2 linked regions of the Stegostoma tigrinum genome follow. The protein of the gene in region 2 purifies or fractionates together with the protein of the main gene of each other region. This does not show direct contact. Links are inferred from orthologs where the notes say so. Each region holds a gene or a part of one and is shown on either strand. Other genes may lie near its edges.

What was found.
Region 1: the proteins of ap1b1 (region 2) and AP-1 complex subunit sigma-2 purify together in Homo sapiens (affinity purification with mass spectrometry; 5 studies listed by BioGRID and IntAct, counting the BioPlex papers as one, with this or other methods). This does not show direct contact. The link is inferred for Stegostoma tigrinum from reciprocal best matches to the Homo sapiens genes AP1B1 and AP1S2.

Annotation. Positions count from the first base shown.
Region 1 is NC_081365.1:79,276,035-79,284,644, reverse strand, and holds the start of AP-1 complex subunit sigma-2, read right to left. Parts: upstream 3,543-8,610; 5' UTR 3,469-3,542; intron 518-3,468; coding exon 339-517; intron 1-338. UniProt on the Homo sapiens protein: Subunit of clathrin-associated adaptor protein complex 1 that plays a role in protein sorting in the late-Golgi/trans-Golgi network (TGN) and/or endosomes.
Region 2 is NC_081379.1:21,050,653-21,059,294, reverse strand, and holds the start of ap1b1 (AP-1 complex subunit beta-1), read right to left. Parts: upstream 3,362-8,642; 5' UTR 3,218-3,361; intron 1-3,217. UniProt on the Homo sapiens protein: Subunit of clathrin-associated adaptor protein complex 1 that plays a role in protein sorting in the late-Golgi/trans-Golgi network (TGN) and/or endosomes.

The sequences.
Region 1 (8,610 bases), on a different chromosome or scaffold from region 2:
AGGAATGCTTTGCACTGAGGAAGTGATGCAGTAACTCAGTAAAAGTACAGGTAAAGATACCATAGGCTTATCAGACAATTCAGTCTTATAGGGCTGCCCTTTAATCGCAGGGCCATTAGGTGGTGGTTAAACCAGAGGGTCACCATCCTTCAGGTAAGGCAACAGGTTCAGGAGAATCCTTCATTATAACCCCTGTACTGCGGGATCCACGTTGCTGGTGTCTCTCTGCATTGCAAACCAGCCATCTCGTCAACCGAGCTAAGACAACTCCCAGCAGCTCATTAGTCCGATAATGCACAATGCAATCCAGAACAAAAAGTGAATGCCAGAATGCCAACCTTTTATATACAATCTTTAGGTCTCTCCACTCCAGAAAGCTGCACATCTTGGGTTTGCGAGCAAGGACTGTTTGGACAAGTTCTCTTGTAATTTTTTTCTTCTCTTTGTCTGAGAGGGGGACATACCATTTTTGCAATCGAAGTTTCCCCTGACGACTAAAAAGCAGCATAAACTGCATCTGTTAGAAGAAAATTGAAGATTTAGCAGATGACATTACTTTGATTTATTTTTCCATGATAACTAATTATACTGAATGAACAGAATGAAACCAAAATCAGTCAGGTCAACAAGTCTAAGCTAGTGTTTTGACCAATTTGAACCTCCTACTTTACATCTTTAGATTCCTTTCTCTCTTAGGTTTATATGACTTAATCTTAAAGGACATCTATCCCATTTGCTACAGCAGCTCTATGCAAGGTTTTTATATTTAGTCATTGATGGAACGTGGACATCATTAGCATGGCGAATATTTATTGCCCATTCCTAACTGCCTTTAAAAACGGTGATGGTGAATAGCCTGGAGATAGCAAGAACTACAGATGCTGAAGTTAGAGACGACATAGAACGGAGCTGGAAGAACACAGCAGGCCAAGCAGCATCAGAGGAGCAGAAAAGTTGACGCTTTGGGTCGGGACCCTCCTTCAGAATAAAAGGCCCTGACCCGAAATGTGAACTTTCCTGCTCCCTTGGTGAAGAGCCTTCTTGAACCGCTGCAGTCCTTCAGGTGTAGGTATGAGATGATGTTGCTTAAGGAGCTTTGGTGAGATGTTGCGGTGCACCTTGTTGAAAGTCACAAAGAATTGCTTTAAATTCTTGGATTTCCTTTTGAACATAATGCTGTGTGGTTCACCATGCAGCAGTTCCAAGATTGCATGCATAGCAATCAGCACAGGCATGCTGATTGCACACCGATTTCTGGTTCCGTAAGTCACTGCAACACAAGGACCTTGGAACGCTGTGCAGCTAGAAAAAAAAATTAGAAGTAACGTATATCACACTGATGAGCCACAAACATTATTTGCAAATCTGACATCTCCACAGCATACACAAGATTCATTTATCTTCCATAAAAGACTTACATTTATATACTCATTTGTCACATCCTCAAGATTTCCAAAGCATTTCACCAGTAATGCAATATTCTTAAATTGTATTAATTCCCATGACTTAGGAAACATGCAGCCAACTGACATGTAGGAAACTCCTACAAACAGCAACAGGATTCCAACTGGTACCTTTTGGTGTGGAGGGGTAAATATTAGCCAGAAATCCCCCAATCTTCAAAAATAGTGGCATGGAATCTTTAATGCCCACTTAAGAGGCCACCAAAGAATGAAAAAATAGAGTTAACATTTCAGGTCAGATGATCCTTCCTCAGAACTGGAAGGGTCATCAGACCCAAAACGTTAACTCTGTCTTTTCCTTCACAGATGCTGCCAGACCTGCTGCGCTTTTCCAGCAACTTTGTTTTTGTTACTGATTTACAGCATCCGCAGTTTTTTGGGCTTTTATTAACCATTTGGAACTCGCTGGCCAGTTGCATATCAAACTAATGAATATTTTCTGTTGCAGATCATCTTGTGACACTGGTACTATCCCTATCCCTGGGCAAGAAGGAGGTCTGAGCAGGTTACTTAAAAATATTAGAACTGCATTATCCTAAATGAAATACCAAGAATCACTTCATGACCAGATGAGATCTTATTCCTAGGTTTGAGATCCTGGTTCTCAAATGCATCTCAGTCTGTTCAGCTGTCACACTTAAGAGGATGAAGAGTGTCGGTGTTGAAACTCATCAAGGTGGCTCCCAGGCTATGGCAAATGGCACCTTTTCCAACATTTCACCTTCATAACTTGTGAAGCCAGCAGGCACACCGTCAACATAAGCTACTTTGCAAATTCAAGAAAATTTCTTAACTTGACCTTACAGAAAAGGAAAACAGTAAGCTTTAGATCTTGAAATAATGCCAAATGATTAACCCATAAAACCAAACTCTTTAAATAAGTCAACAAAACAGTGCAAGTGCCAACTTTTAATGTGACCTAGAACTGATGACATGCTCAATTCTTTAAAAAACCCTCAGTATTGCTGCAGTATTGAAAGACCTCTGGCCTGATCCACACTCAGATTTCCATTCAGTTAGTGTCAAAGCAATTATTACAATCAGCCAACAAAACGCCCGCAAATCTGGCAGTCATATGAACTAGTCACAAGCTTCAAGCAAAACACCAAAACTAGAAAACAAACTGCTGAGGATGATGAATCAATTTCATTAAACAAATTTCTGAATTCAAAGGAGCTGCCAAGTGTTAATGAAACATGACAGTTTTAAATTTTTCAAGACCTAATCCTGAGAGACAGACACAGACACAGAGAGGTAGCAGTGTTTGTGGATTAGGAGGGAATCACAGACTCCCTTCAGTGCAGAAAGAGGTCAGTTGGCCAATCGAGTCAACAACAGCCCTTTGAAGAGCATCCTTTCTAGCCAACTCTACTCCTATAACCCAGCTTGCACATCCCTGGACACTATGACAATTACAGCACAGCCAATCCATCTAACCTACACATTTATGGGCTGGGAACAGGGCTGAGGGGTGGGGGCAGGGGTCTGGTGGGGCTGGACGTGGGCTGCTGGGGAAAGGGGGGCAGCGAGGAGGGGAAGGCGAGTGGAGAGGATAGGGGCTGGAGAGATGAGGGAGAGGAAGGGGGCTGGGGAGGAGGGGCAGATGGCTGGGGGGAGTGAAAGAGGATGGGCGGTGAGGACTGCAAGAGCATGGGGGCTGGTGGGGTGAGGGAGAGGATAGAGGCTGGGGGACTGGATGGCCCTGGGGGAGTGGATAGGGGCTGGGGGAGTGGATAGGGGCAAGGGAGCGGATAGGGGCAAGGGAGCGGATAGGGGGGAGGATGGGTGGGGGGGGGGGTTTGGGAAGAAGTGGATTTTAGTGGATGATAGGGGGACGGGTGAGGAAGACGTTCTGGGTCGCACTCTCGGACAGGCCTCGGGTTCCAGCTGTTTCCCACCCGCCTTCCGACAACACCCAAAACCCTGAGACTGCAGCATCCCCACAGAACCCGGGAACCCCACTCCCATCCATCGCCACCGTGCCAGCTTCTCGGCTCCCCCTCACCTTCGCCCTCTCTCCGGCCGTTACCGCCCGGGACCCGCTCTCCGCATTAGACCCGCCTCAAGCACGCCTTCTCTCTCGTCATTGGTAGACAGGCGGAGGCGTTGCCCGGATCTCTGCGCGGTGAGTGGCTAGATTCCACGTCAATCGGTGCCCCGCGGCGACAATTGCGGCTATAATTGGACAGTTTCCACATCTATCTCCTTGGTGTGCCACGCCCCAATTCCTGACACGCCGATTGGCTGCGACCACGAGCGGGGGGCTGTCAATCAACTGTTGGCCCCGCCCTGCAGGGGAGGGAAGCAAGTTAATGTTGTGTGGGCCGTGGAAGTAATTGAGCAAAACTTCACTCCCTCAGCAAATCTTTCTCTCCCTGAACATAACCGTCACTTAGCAAAGCCTCTCTCACTCAGCGAAACCTGAAATCGGTTGGCAACACCATCTCTCAGTCAGTAAAATACTCACTCCCACAGCACAACATCAGTTTTCCTCAGGCAAAACCTCAACTCATTGAACAAGTTCTCCACCCCTACATCACAAGACATGCACCCTAATCAAAAATGGCCACTTCCTGAAAAAAAATCTCCACTCCACCGTAAGGAATATCCAACTCCCTCCAGCAAAATCTACAGTTCCTCACCAAAAACTTCAACCTCAGCAAAATATTCACTTCATGACCAAAATGCCCATTTCATCATCAGAAATTCCATCCCTCACCAAAATCTTCACCCCCCCCAACACCTCCATCAAATCTACAACCTCTCTCCAGAAACATTCTCTCCGTCACCATCAACCCCACTTTCTCACCAGAGCATCCATTCCCTCACGAAAATCTCTATCACCAAAACCTCCACCCTATCCAAACTTTCACACCCTCTCCAAAAATATCCAGTTTGTCACCAAAAACTCCACTTGCTCATCATTAATTCTGTTTCTTCACCAAAATTCTCCAATTCCCCATAGAATTTCTGTTTTGTTATGAACCTAGACCAGGAATGTTATAGTCTGATTAAGGACGAGTAACCTTTAATTTTAAAGTTAAAAGAAGTGAGATCTAAGCGAATTATTAAGAGAGTAAAGCCTCAAGGTTCCACAGGTTTGAACAAACAACAACAAACTGTACTATGGAATGTTCAAGTAGTAATACAATCTACAGTATATATGCAACATTTCCAACACCTAGAATTAAGATGTGCTAAATATATATGTGTATACATATTTAAATTATCTCCACAAGCATTGCCTATCTGTCTCCAAAACACCATTCAAGTTATTTTTTTCTGTACCACGTGGAAGCAGGCCATTTGGCCCATCGAGTCCACACCAGCCTTCTGAGGAGTATCCCATCCGGACTCACCTACTGACCCTGCTGAGAGCCTCATCTATCCCTTTATCACCTCTATATCTGCCTATTGCCCCAATATTCTGCCTGGCCTCCTGTTTTCAATCCTCTGTAAACTTGAAGTCATCTGAAACCCTCTGCCCATGTCTTACTATTCAACTAAGTTTGTTCTCTGGGGCGTCCTTGATATTAATCTTTGGTTTGAGTCATTCTGGCCTTGGTTGTCATGTCATCAGCTGCCTCGTCTTTAAGCTTCAGAATATTCTGTCTCTAAACGTCTGCTTCTCCATCTCTTCTTCATCCTTTAATATATCATTTGAAACCTAGTTCTCTGTTAAGCTTTTGCTTGTGTCTCTCATGAATTGTTTATGAGGTGCAATGACAACACTTTGCCTTAAGGATGTCTCACTATATTAAAATTGCTGTTTAAGTACAAGTTCCTGTACCTCAGGAGTACAGGTATTACATTCCCCAATGTTTCCAATTAGGGACGTGAGCTATAAAAGCTCATGCCCCAAAGGCATCATTAGTAATAAATAATTATAACTATTTACAGTAGAGCAAAATGATACAAACAAAAACTTAAAAAATCATGTTGACTGGGATGTTGGGATGTTGACTGTCTAAGCCCTATAGTGCCCTCACAGAAAGGGATTCAGTGGCAAACAGGGATTACATGGCAAATATAGAATCTGCTACAAAGATACAATCTATTTAGATCAACCATGCCAATGCTTATACTCCATAAGAGCTCCCACCTCACATCAGCCAACTGTTCAACACCCTATTAAAAGTACCCCTGCCTCATTGAGTACACCCCCACAAATCATTTTTTTTAAATTCTTTCATAGGATATGGTGGCATTAGCAAAGGCAGCATTTAAACTAACTTGTGAGGGTAGGGTTGGGAGAGGGGAAATGTGGGCTTATAAAGCAAGGGGATGTGACAGCATTAGAGGCAGCTTTTTGGATGATGATACCTAGACTGGGTCAGGAAGAGTTAGATTGTAGAAACATAGAAAAACAGCAGTAAATAGGGTCAAGTGGGGCTCTTTAATGCACAGGGTATCCCAAATAAAATAAAATAAATTAATTACATGGGTAACAGGAACTGCAGATACTGGAGAATCTGAGATAACAAGGTGTAGAGCTGGATGAACACAGCAGGCAAAACAGCGTCAGAGGAGCAGGAAGGCTGACCTTTCAGGCCAAGACCTTTCTTCAGAAATGGGGGAGGGGAAAGGGATTCTGAAATAAATAGGGAGAGAGGGGGAGGCGGATAGAGGAGAAGATAGGTGGAGAGGACACAGACAGATCAAAGAGGCAGGGATGGAGCCAGTAAAGGTGGGTGTAGGTGGGGAGGTAGGGAGGAGATAGGTCAGTCCAGGGAGGATGGATAGGTCCAGGGGGCAGGATGAGGTTAGTAGGTAGGAGGTGGGGGTGGGACTTGAGGTGGGAGGAGGGTATAGGTGGAAGGAAGGACAGGTTAGGGAGGCGGGGATGAGCTGGGCTGGTTTTGGAATGTGGTGGGGGAGGGGAGATTTTGAAGCTTGTGAAGTCCACATTAATACCATTGGGCTGTAAGGTTACCAAGTGGAATATGAGTTGCTGTTCCTGCAATCCTTGGGTAGCATCGCTGTGGCACTGCAGGAAGCCCAATATGGACATGTCATCTGCAGAATGGGAGGGGGAGCTGAAATGGTTTGCAACTGGGAGGTGCAGTTGTTGAGTGCGAACTGAGCATAGGTGTTCTGCAAAGTGGTCCCCAAGCTTCCGCTTGGTTTCCCTGATGTAGAGGAGGCTACAATGGGAACATCGGATACAGCATACCACATTAGCGGATGTCCAAGTGAACATCTGCTTAATGTGGAAAGTCTTCTTGGGGCCTGGGGTGGGGGTGAACAGGGAGGTGTAGGGGCATGTGTAGCACTTCCTGCGGTACAGGGAAAAGTGCCGGGTGTGGTAGGGCTGGAGGGGAATCTGGAGCAGACAAGGGAGTCTTGGAGAGAGTGGTCCCTCCAAAAAGCAGATAAAGGTGGTCAGGGAACAATGTCTTTGGTGGTGGAGTCGGATTGCAGATGGCAGAAGTTTCGGAGGATGATGCATTGGATCCAGAGATTGGTGGGGTGGTACATGAGGATGAGGGGGATTCTGTTTTGGTTGTTAGTGCGGGGAGGGGGTTTGAGGGACGAGTTGTGGGAAATGTGGGAGACACAGTCGAGGGCGTTCTCAACCACTGTTGGGGGGAAGTTGCGGTCTTTGAAAAACTAGGACATCTGAGATGTACGGGAGTAGAATACCTCATCCTGGGTGCAGATGCAGCGGAGGCCTAGGAATTGGGAATAGGGGATGGCAATTTTGCGGGAAGGTGGGTGAGAGGAGGTGTATTCTAGATAGCCGTGCGAGTCGGTGGGCTTGAAATGGATATTGGTTTCTATGTGGTTGCCAGAGGTGGAGACAGAGAGGCAGGCATAGCTTGTGCCCGTGCGGGTACCCATGGCCACCCCCTTTGTCTGTAGGAAGTGGGAGGAATTGAAAGAGAAGCTGTTAAGGGTGAGGACATGTTTGGCCAAGCGGATGAGGGTGTCAGTGGAGGGGGACTGGTCAGGCCTGCGGGACAGGAAGTAGCGGAGGGCCTTTAGGTCATCTGTATGGGGAATGCAGTTGTATAGGGACTGGGCATCCATGGTAATGATGAGGTGTTGGGGACGGGGGAATTGGAAGTTCTGGAGGAGGTGAAGGGCATGGGTGGTGTCACGGACATAGGTAGGGAGTTCCTGGACTAAGGGGGAGAAAATGGAGTCGAGATAAATTCGGTGGAGAAGGAGCAGGCAGTGACAATGGGTCAACCAGAGCAGCCAGGTTTGTAGATTTTGGGAAGGAGACAGAAGCGTGCAGTGCCCGTTTGGGGAACAATGCGGTTAGAGGATGTGAGTGGGAGGTCACCTGAGGTGATGATGTTATGGATGGTTTGGGAGATAATAATTTGGTGGCTGGGGGTGGGGTCATGATCAAGGGGCCGGTGGGAGGAGGTGTCAGAGAGTTAGCGTCTGACCTCGAGGTCAGTGTGCCATACTACGACTGCGCCTCCCTTGTCCTCGGGTTTTGTGGTGAGGTTAGGATTGGAGCTGAGGGAGCAGAGGGCTGCATGTTCTGTGGGGGAGAGGTTGGAGTGGGTGAGAAGGATGGAGGGGTTGAGACGATTGATTTCTCAGCAGCAGGCGGAGATGAAGAGGTCGGGGGACGTCTTTGCAGAACACCTATGCTCGGGTAGCACTAAACAACTGCACCTCCCAGTTGCGAACCATTTTAACTCCCCCTCCCATTCCTCAGACGACTTGTCCATCTTGGGGCCCCTGCAGTGCCACAATGATGCTACCCGAAGGTTGCAGGAACAGCAACTCATATTCCGCTTGGGAACCCTGCAGCCCAATGGTATCAATGTGGACTTAACAAGCTTCAAAATCTCCCCTCCCCCTACCACATTCCAAAACCAGCCCAACTCGTCAACCCTCCCTAACCTGTCCTTGCTTCCACCTATCCCCTCCTCCCACCTCAAGTCCCACCTGCATCTCCTGCCTACCAAATTCATCCTGCCCCCTTGACCTGTCCATCCTCCCTGGGCTGACCTACCTCCTCCCTACCTCCCCACCTACTGGTTCACCACCTTTACCGGCGACATCCCTGCCTCTTTGATTTGTCTGTCTCCTCTCCACCTATCTTCTCCTCTATCCATTTTCTATCCACTTCCCCCCTCTCCCTATTTATTTCAGAACCCCCTTGCCCTCTCCCATTTCTGAAGAA
Region 2 (8,642 bases):
GCAGGGTTACAGGGACAGGATGGGAAAGTGGGTCCGGGTGAGATGCTTTCTGGAGGGTCGTTCCAAACTTAATTGCTCAAATTGCCTTTTTCTGCACTGTAAGGATTCTATAAGGAGGAATTCCAAAGTTCAAGGCTTAGGAAACTGAAAGCTCAATGACTGAAGGTAGAGGAATTAAAATTGAGGAAATCAAAGAGCACAAGTGGATGCATTCAAAAATCTCAACATGTGGGGAGGCTAGCTGTTGAGAAAGGTAATGCCACGCAGAGACAAGAGAATAAGGAGGAGAATTTTGAAATTACAAGTCCCATAGCTGGACTGGGAATAGAAGTAGCTCAGCGAGCAGAGCCAATTGGTGATTGAATCTCAGTGCAAATTAGTGTAAAGAAATGGAAGAAGCCATGATAGTTAATTTTCCTTAGTTTTTACCAGAATGAATAACAAAGGAGGTTGAGGGGTGACCTTAGAGGCTTACAAACTGAGTATAAAATGAATAGCAAGGTGCTTTCCCTGGCGTTGGAAACTTCAAAACTGGAGGCTTAACTTAAAGGTGACAGGGGAAAGATTTAAGATGGACTGGAGGAGCAACGTTTTCACAAAGAGGGTGGTGCGCATATGGAATAAGCTAGCAGAGGAAGTGGCAGATACAGATGTAGTTACAAAATTTAAAAGACATTTGGACAGGTACATGAATAGGAATGATTTAGAGATGGTACGGGCCAATTAGAGGCAAATGGGACTAGTTTATTTTGGGAAACTTGGTCGGCATGGACGCGTTGGACCAAAGTATCTGTTTCCGTGCTGTATGACATTCTGACAGATATAGCATTAAAATGAAATCCAAAGCAAAAACAGATAATTAGGATGGAGAAAGATAATTGTTGGACTAATTAAATTTAGAAATGATTAATTTTTGTTCAAAATTAACTACATCCACACAGTTAAAAGAGAACTAAGAGCTGGCAGATTCAAAATAAAATCCATAGAATAGCAAACCAGGTCAGGAAAATAAATGGACAATCAATATTATTCCTGTATTCAAAAGGGCGATAGAACAAATAAGGAGTTATTGTGAAGTTAACTAAAAATTAATCGTTAAAAAGTGGAATATTTACTCAAGTGTGAATGCCAACCATCTAGAAACTGCACACACATCAGTCAGTTTACAGAGTTCTTTGAAGTCATAAAATGCAAGAGTAAAGTTAATTCAGCAGGTGCAATATTAGATAGACTTTCAAACTACCTTTCATTTAGGTAAATAAGAGGCTTATGCCTGCAGGCTAGCATGCAGATTCTGGGGACAAGTAGCAGAACAAATCGAAAACTGAATATAAACCAAAAAGTATTCAAAGGAGTTACAGACTATCAAGGTGAGGGAATCTAGGACCAGAGGGTACAATCTTAGAGTAAGGGTTGTCCATTTAAGACAGAGATGAGGAGAAAACTTTTCTCCAGGACAGTAGTCAATTTGTGAAATTCTTTGCTGTGGTGGGCTGTCAAAGCTGGGTAATTAAGTATATTAAAGGTTGAGATGGACATATTTATAATTAGTAATGGAATTAAGGATTTATAGGGATAAGGAAGGTGGAGTTACGATATCAGATCAGCCATGATTGCAATGAATGACAAACAGGACCTCATGGACCAAATGGTCTATATTTGATCTTATGGTAGTGGTCCTCCATAGGGATTGGTATAGGGACCATTTCTGTACATGAATGCAAAAATTATCGAAGAATGAAAAGAATCAGAATTGCATTATCAAAACTTGCAGATACCTTTTTGGGAGATATGGCTAATAGCAAGAAAGATTACACCAAAATAAAAAACAAGCTCAAAAAATCTGTAGAATAGATGTGTAAATGGCAAAGTAATTTCAAAATATGAGAGGGGTGTTGTACTCTGGTAGTAGACATAAACAAGTCACATTTCCCTTGGAAAATTATCTTAAGTGGGGTAGGGATACAAACAAATCAATAAAAGTAGAAACAGGTCAACAAAGTCACAAAATGCAAATAATACATTGGGTGGGAAGTGGTTTGCATGGAGCATAAACACTTGAATAAACACATTAAACTGAACAGCCTGCATCTGTACTATAAAGGACAGTGTAATAAGTATTTGAATGTTTCAGAACCATTCAACCTATCACATCATCGAAACAAGCTACCCAATTTGGTTCCTGCATATTTTGCATTAGACAAATATTGCCCGAAATTACCCATAGGCAAGTATATTAAAGTAGTTGAACTCTATTTTAAAGTTGACATTGAGTGCATACAAAACAGTCATATCCATTTATGAACAAAACAGCTTCAGACCTTAGTAATGAAGACTTTGTTTCTTAAAAGAGACAAAACAAACAATTTCAAACCGAGAAGATCCAGGATTGTCATTTGCTACAAGCACAAATTGAACCTAACACCAAAACAGCAATCGATGTGGAGTCAAGGAGATCAGAATTTTCCTGTCACTACCCGGCCAGGGCAAACTGAGCTCAGTTAAATTTCAATGCTGAAGAGGAAACGGAGCTTGCCCATCAGCATGACGACCCAATTCCTTGTTTCTGGTCATTTAGTCAATGCAGCATTTCAGATGGCCGGTGGAGACTGGATGGGCAGAATGGCTTCTATCTGCACTGTGATTCTACTTGACGTTTGCCAGCACAACAGCGATTGCACTTCAAAGACATTCGCCGGGCCAAGAGCTTTGAGACAGGACTTAAACACAAGTCTGTATTAATCACAATCAGGGAGACCGTAGGAAGAAACAGTTGGGGGTGGGAGAATGTGGTGAAGATAAGGGCGCTATTTAAAAGGGAATGACTGTGTTATTAAGGGAACACGCACGATTTACAAAAAATATTAAATTTTAACAGTGAAATGCGTCCGGTTTGCCATGTCTGCCCGAGGGGCGGGAGAGAGGGAAGGGGGCGGCTCACAGTCTCCTACACCTGCTCGGGGTCCTGGAGGCCCAGGTTGGGTAAGGTCCTGGCCCCAGAGGCCGGGTAGATAGAGGGCAGCGACTGCGTGTGCGCGCGCGCCCCGGGAAAGGGCTCAACCCCCACCGCACACCCCAGACCTCAGACTCCTGACTCCCAGCTCACTCGATCTCAACTTCCGGCCACGGCAGAAAAATTAACTTTCAGCAGGCGGACAATGGTGGGTGGGGGGGGGGGGGAATGTAGAAAGCGAGAAAGAGAAGCGTAAGCACCCACCTCCCCGCGGTCACTCGGCTGAAATGAAAGTCCAGTCTCCGGTCGAGAAGGGGGCCCCCGCCAGATCGACTCCGTCCTCCGAACACCAATTGAAGCTTCAAGATGTCCGCCCGTCGCCAAGCTGCGCTGTCACCCAGCTGAACCGGAAACAATGCGCGCCACGAGGCGGGGGGCGGGGCCAGCTTCCGACCACGCCCCCGGATCCTGCCCCAGGTCCGAGCTCCCCCAGCAGTTGCAATGCAGGCTGCCTGCAGCAAAGTTCACTGTTAGACGAGGTTGCCCCAAAATCAAAACCCATATCATCTCCTAACTTAAGAGTCGAGCTGCAAAAATAATTGCTTTTAAAAAAACATAAATAGGGTGTGCTGGAGAAACCCAGCACGTCTGGCAGCACCTGTGGAGAGAGAGAGAAATGTAAACAAAGTCAAATCTCCTGCTCCTCTGATGCTGCTTGGCCTGCTGTGTTCATCCAGCCCCACACCTTGTGAAAGTGATGATGGGAACTGCAGATGCTGGAGAATCCAAGATAATAAAATATGAGGCTGGATGAACACAGCAGGCCCAGCAGCATCTCAGGAGCAATGCTGCTGGGCCTTTTGTGTTCATCCAGCCTCACATTTTATTACCACACCTTGTTATCTCAGATTCTCCAGCATCTGCAGTTCCTACTATCTCAAATCTTTCCAGGCCAGTGTGATTTCAGAAGTCCTTTCACGTTATGTTTCTCTGACCACAGATGCTGCTGGTTTTGCCGAATTTCTCCAACACTTTCTAATTTTCTTTTCCATTTCCAGCATCCATAACATTTTGCTTTAATTTTTATTTTATTGCCGTTCCCCTACAAAACAAGTTGAAAATTGGTTCATAAACCCCATTAGTGTCTTAATGTCGAGCATAAAACAATTTGTAAAGCACCAATAGCTCAAAAAGTGAATAATGATGTCCTTTTTTGACAAGTGCTCAGAAGGAACAAATAGTTGCCATTGCCAGAGTAGCAGTGTCAGTCCACTTTAGATCACATAGAAATGGGATCTGAGGGAAAAAAATTCTCAGCCATTTCTTTGTAAACAGCGTAAATACTTAACAAATGTTTATAGGTTTGCACTTGTATGGATTCCAGCACACATCTGTCAAAAGGAGCCGAGATCTGAGGTCAGAAGTCACACAACACCAGGTTGTAGTACAACAGGTTCATTTGAAAGCGTAAACTTTCACATTGCTGCTCCTTCGTCAGTTGAGTAGAGAAAGGCACACATCATATGATAGTTATACATATTGGCAGCGGTCTCCAGCCCCTTTATGAAGATTACCAATTGGTGATGATAAACATGATGTCATGACTTAATTGGGAATAATGTGCTGTTGATTATGTTCTGCAATTCTGCAAGCCATCACCAAAATCTGTAAAATGTAAATTAGCCCACGAAAATGATCAAGTTGCTGAACTGGCTGTATTCAGATCAAAAGTAATTCTCACCCGGTTTCATCATTAATAGGAAATACTTGTCTATTTGTTGCAACTCCATTAACTTTAACAAATAGGAGAGAGTCCCTAATCTGCTGCAATACGTCTTAAACAATACCCTTTTAAAAAGCTAAAAATTAACAGTCTTATTCATAATTTAGACAAACAAAAGACAGATGGTTTGGCACATGCCTGGAAAAACATGTAAACAGGGAATAAAATCTGAAGATCAAACAGCCAGAGCCCCAGCATGTTAAATAATTTCCTATAGATCCTTTTATTTTTAGGAGTGATGACACTGTTGATGTAAAGCATTGTTCATTTTTCAATTGGTAGTTGATCCTTGACCTAGGTCTCAGAATAAGGGATGCATATTTAAGACAAAGATGAGGAAGGATTTCTCCTCTCAGAGCATTATGAATCTGTGGAATTCTTTATTGCAGATGGCTGTCGAGGCTGGATCGTTAAGTAGATTCAAGGTTGAAATAGGTAGAGTTTCAGGAAATCAAGGGTTATGAGGAAAAGACAGGAAAATGAAGTTTAAGTTTATCAAATCAGGCATGATTTCAATGAATGGCAAAGCAGACTCAATAGGCTGAATGGCCCGCTTCTGCTCTTATGTCTATGGTCTTAAACACTTCTTTTGAATCACCCCACCCTTAAAGACAGCTTCAGTTACTGTAACTTGATTGCACTTACTTTATCCTCTGGTGATGGATTTTGGCTAGTATTGTGCTGGTCACCACTTGATGGAAAAATATCTGGAACCTGTTTCTGTAGCTGTTTTATCTACCTAATCTCAATTGGATGTACTGTGATTCTTGGCAAAGGTATAAATTTCACTCTGATCACAGGAGAAAGTCAACTCTGTTCATGGCTCCTTCTATGAATGTTCTAGATAACAATTCACTTCCTAGTTGCACTTTGTACAACAGAACTGGGATATATTCTGCCTTTATCATGTTTATTAACTCTTTAGCTTTTATTGCACTCTCTGAAGGGAAAACTGTATCCTTCTGGAAAAGAGCTTGTGAAGAGACAATGGGACAGTGGAATTATTGCTGAGGTGGTAATCCAGAGACGCAGGTAATATTCTGGGGGAAACAGAGAGAATGTAAGAGAAGCTCAGCAGGTCTGGCAGCATCTGTGGAGAAAGAAACAGAGTTAATGTTTTAAGTCCTGTCATTTCTTCAGAACTGGGAACCAGGGATTCAAATACCAACATGGCAAGTGGTAAATTTTGAAGTCAATAATCATCTTGAACTAAACGTTTAATGATGATCTTGAAACCACAGTTGATGATCATGAAAAACACCCATGCAGTTCATTAATACCACCTAGGGGAAGAAAATCTGCCATCCTTGCCTGGCCTGGCCTACATGCAACTCCAAACCCACAACCACCTGACTCATAACTGTCCTACGATGTAATGTTTAGATTTATCAACTGCTAGAAAGTGACAAAAAGGGAACAAAAGAATGAAAATGGATGGATCATTGAGCATTGACAAAAGCTCTAGAAATGACAACAGCAAGTTCAGCCCTTCAACTCTGAAAAATCGCCTTCACTAACAGATTAGTACCACAATTAGAGACTGAGCAACAGCCTGGCATATACTCAAGGAATCATAGTTTATGAACAATGTCCCAGACTACTCCCTCACCATATAATACAGCTTGAGGAAATTCAGCAATGAGTCGATTCACTAGAGTCTGAGCTTTTCCAATAGATGCAAGGTTCTTGCTGCTAGTCTGGACAGGGTACAAGAAGGATGAGTGAACTGATCACTGGTCCAGGGCACCATTTAAGTAGGAGGAGAAAAGAAAATGTAGTAGTAATATGGGGAGCATAGTTAGGCAAATTGATGTTGTTCTTTGTAGCAAAGACAGGCATTCCTGAAGGGTGTGTTGCCTACCTGGCGCTGAGGTTTGGGACAACTCTTCTGGTCTGGATAGAAACTTGGAGTAGGTGACAAAAGATCCAGTTATTGTGGCCAACAACATGGATAGGACCAAGAAAGTGTTCTGCTGAGGAAATAAGAACAGCTCAGGGTAAAGTTAACCACAGAGATAACAATCTCCAGACTACTATCTGTGCTGTGTGCAAATTGGCACTGGGTAAATAACATTAGAGGTAAATGTGTGTCTCAAAGATTGATGTAGGAGAAACGAGTTCTGATTCATGGGGCACTGGTACTTTCACTGGAAAGTGAAAGCTGTTCCATTGGCACAGGCTTCTTTTGAAAAATGCTGGGGCAAATGGTATAACTAGGGCTGTAGATAGGCCTTTAAACTAATTCGTGGGAAGTGGTGAGTGTTCAATTGAAAGGAAGATTGAAAAGTCAACTAGAGTCAAGAGAGCAAAGGTGCATGACAGTGAGGAGGTGAACAATAATCAAAATGTGATGGGAAGGGGTAGAAAATATTTGCAAAATAGTGCAACAAGATTAGATCCATAGTTAGTAATAAGGTTTAAAACATCAGAGTTTAAACTCCTTTATTTGAATGCAGAAAGCACTTTCAAAAGGACTAGGCAAATCAAAATCAATGGATATGATTTGATAGGCTATTGCAGATTCATAGTTGCTGGGTGACCAAGATTGAGAACTCAGAACAAGGGTATTCAGTGTTATTGAAGAATAGGCTTAGAAGTAAAGGACATATGCATGGTGAAAACTGAACACTGCTTTTCCTCTCAATCTGCCCAGGTGAGACACTGCTGACAAGTGCAAGCGCACATCACCTTTCAGTTAAGTAAACTCTGTTATTGTTGGGAGTAAATTAAAGGAATCCTGATGTTTAAAAATCTCCTGGATTGAATTTAATAGCCACTAGTAGATTGAGGGTGAATCCTCTAGTCTTCTGGCTATTCTGAGACCATTAGCAGCCCTAGCCATATGAAAGTGTGGAGCTGGAAAGATTTACAGCCACTGGAGCGTGATTCAAATACAGAGTATGAAGAGATTTGCAGCACCCATGTATCACAAATGGAGCTGAAAGGGGAAGCTTGGGAAGGAGAGACAGTGGATAGAGAAGCTTGAGAAAAGTTTACCTCACCATAATATGGAGCTTTTGTTTTCTCTCTGACAGTTGGCAAATTGTTCCCAATTGCCCAAAGTTTACTATTGATGAAATAAATGATGTTGCTTTTAAAATGCGCAGATTTGCAGGAGCATTGATGCAAGAAACGTTCCAGTTTTATAACACCCGTGAAAATTCCAGTTGGTTGTGAGACCAAGAGAGAGAAGTTTAACTTTTCTTATAAATTGCATTTCTTATTACTATGCATGTATTGGGATGTCTGCAGAAATAAAGAGAGCTGCCACCTCCAGAACTCGCACATCGCCGTTTCTGAATAATTGCCTGTATCCATTAGCATAAATAAGCTTGATTCATTACAGTGTTGGTATAAAACAATAAACTTTATCAGATTTTCACAACTTGAGTTGCTGAGGCTGAAAACATACAATTTTTCCACACATTCTCCTTCTTAGCATTTTGCAAAATCAATGTCCTTATAATATTTTCTTAAATTAGAGCGCTTATTCTGTTAATAACTGAAAAGTAGGATTTCAACAGCATATTTTTAAAATTCATATAATATTTCAATTGACTGCAAAAAATATTAAGCAGATATTTTATCAAATTTGTTTTCTTCCTTCTTCCAAAAACCACAACCTGTGCTAGAGCATAATTCTGTTAGAACCAATAGTTCTCCAATATCTCAACTGTTAGTTTTTGCATTATGTTTGGGCAATGTTGAGAAATCTAACATCATAGCTGAAAGCTAATAGCATCCTGACTTAAAATTAAACCTCATAAAATCCACCCAGCGGGGTGGTGATCAGGGATAGGAAATCTGACTGACTTTATTCACGTTTGCATGGAGACGCACGTAGATTTTACAAGGGGACAGAATAAATCCTCCACATCATAAAAGTCACCCAGAAACCTTATGACA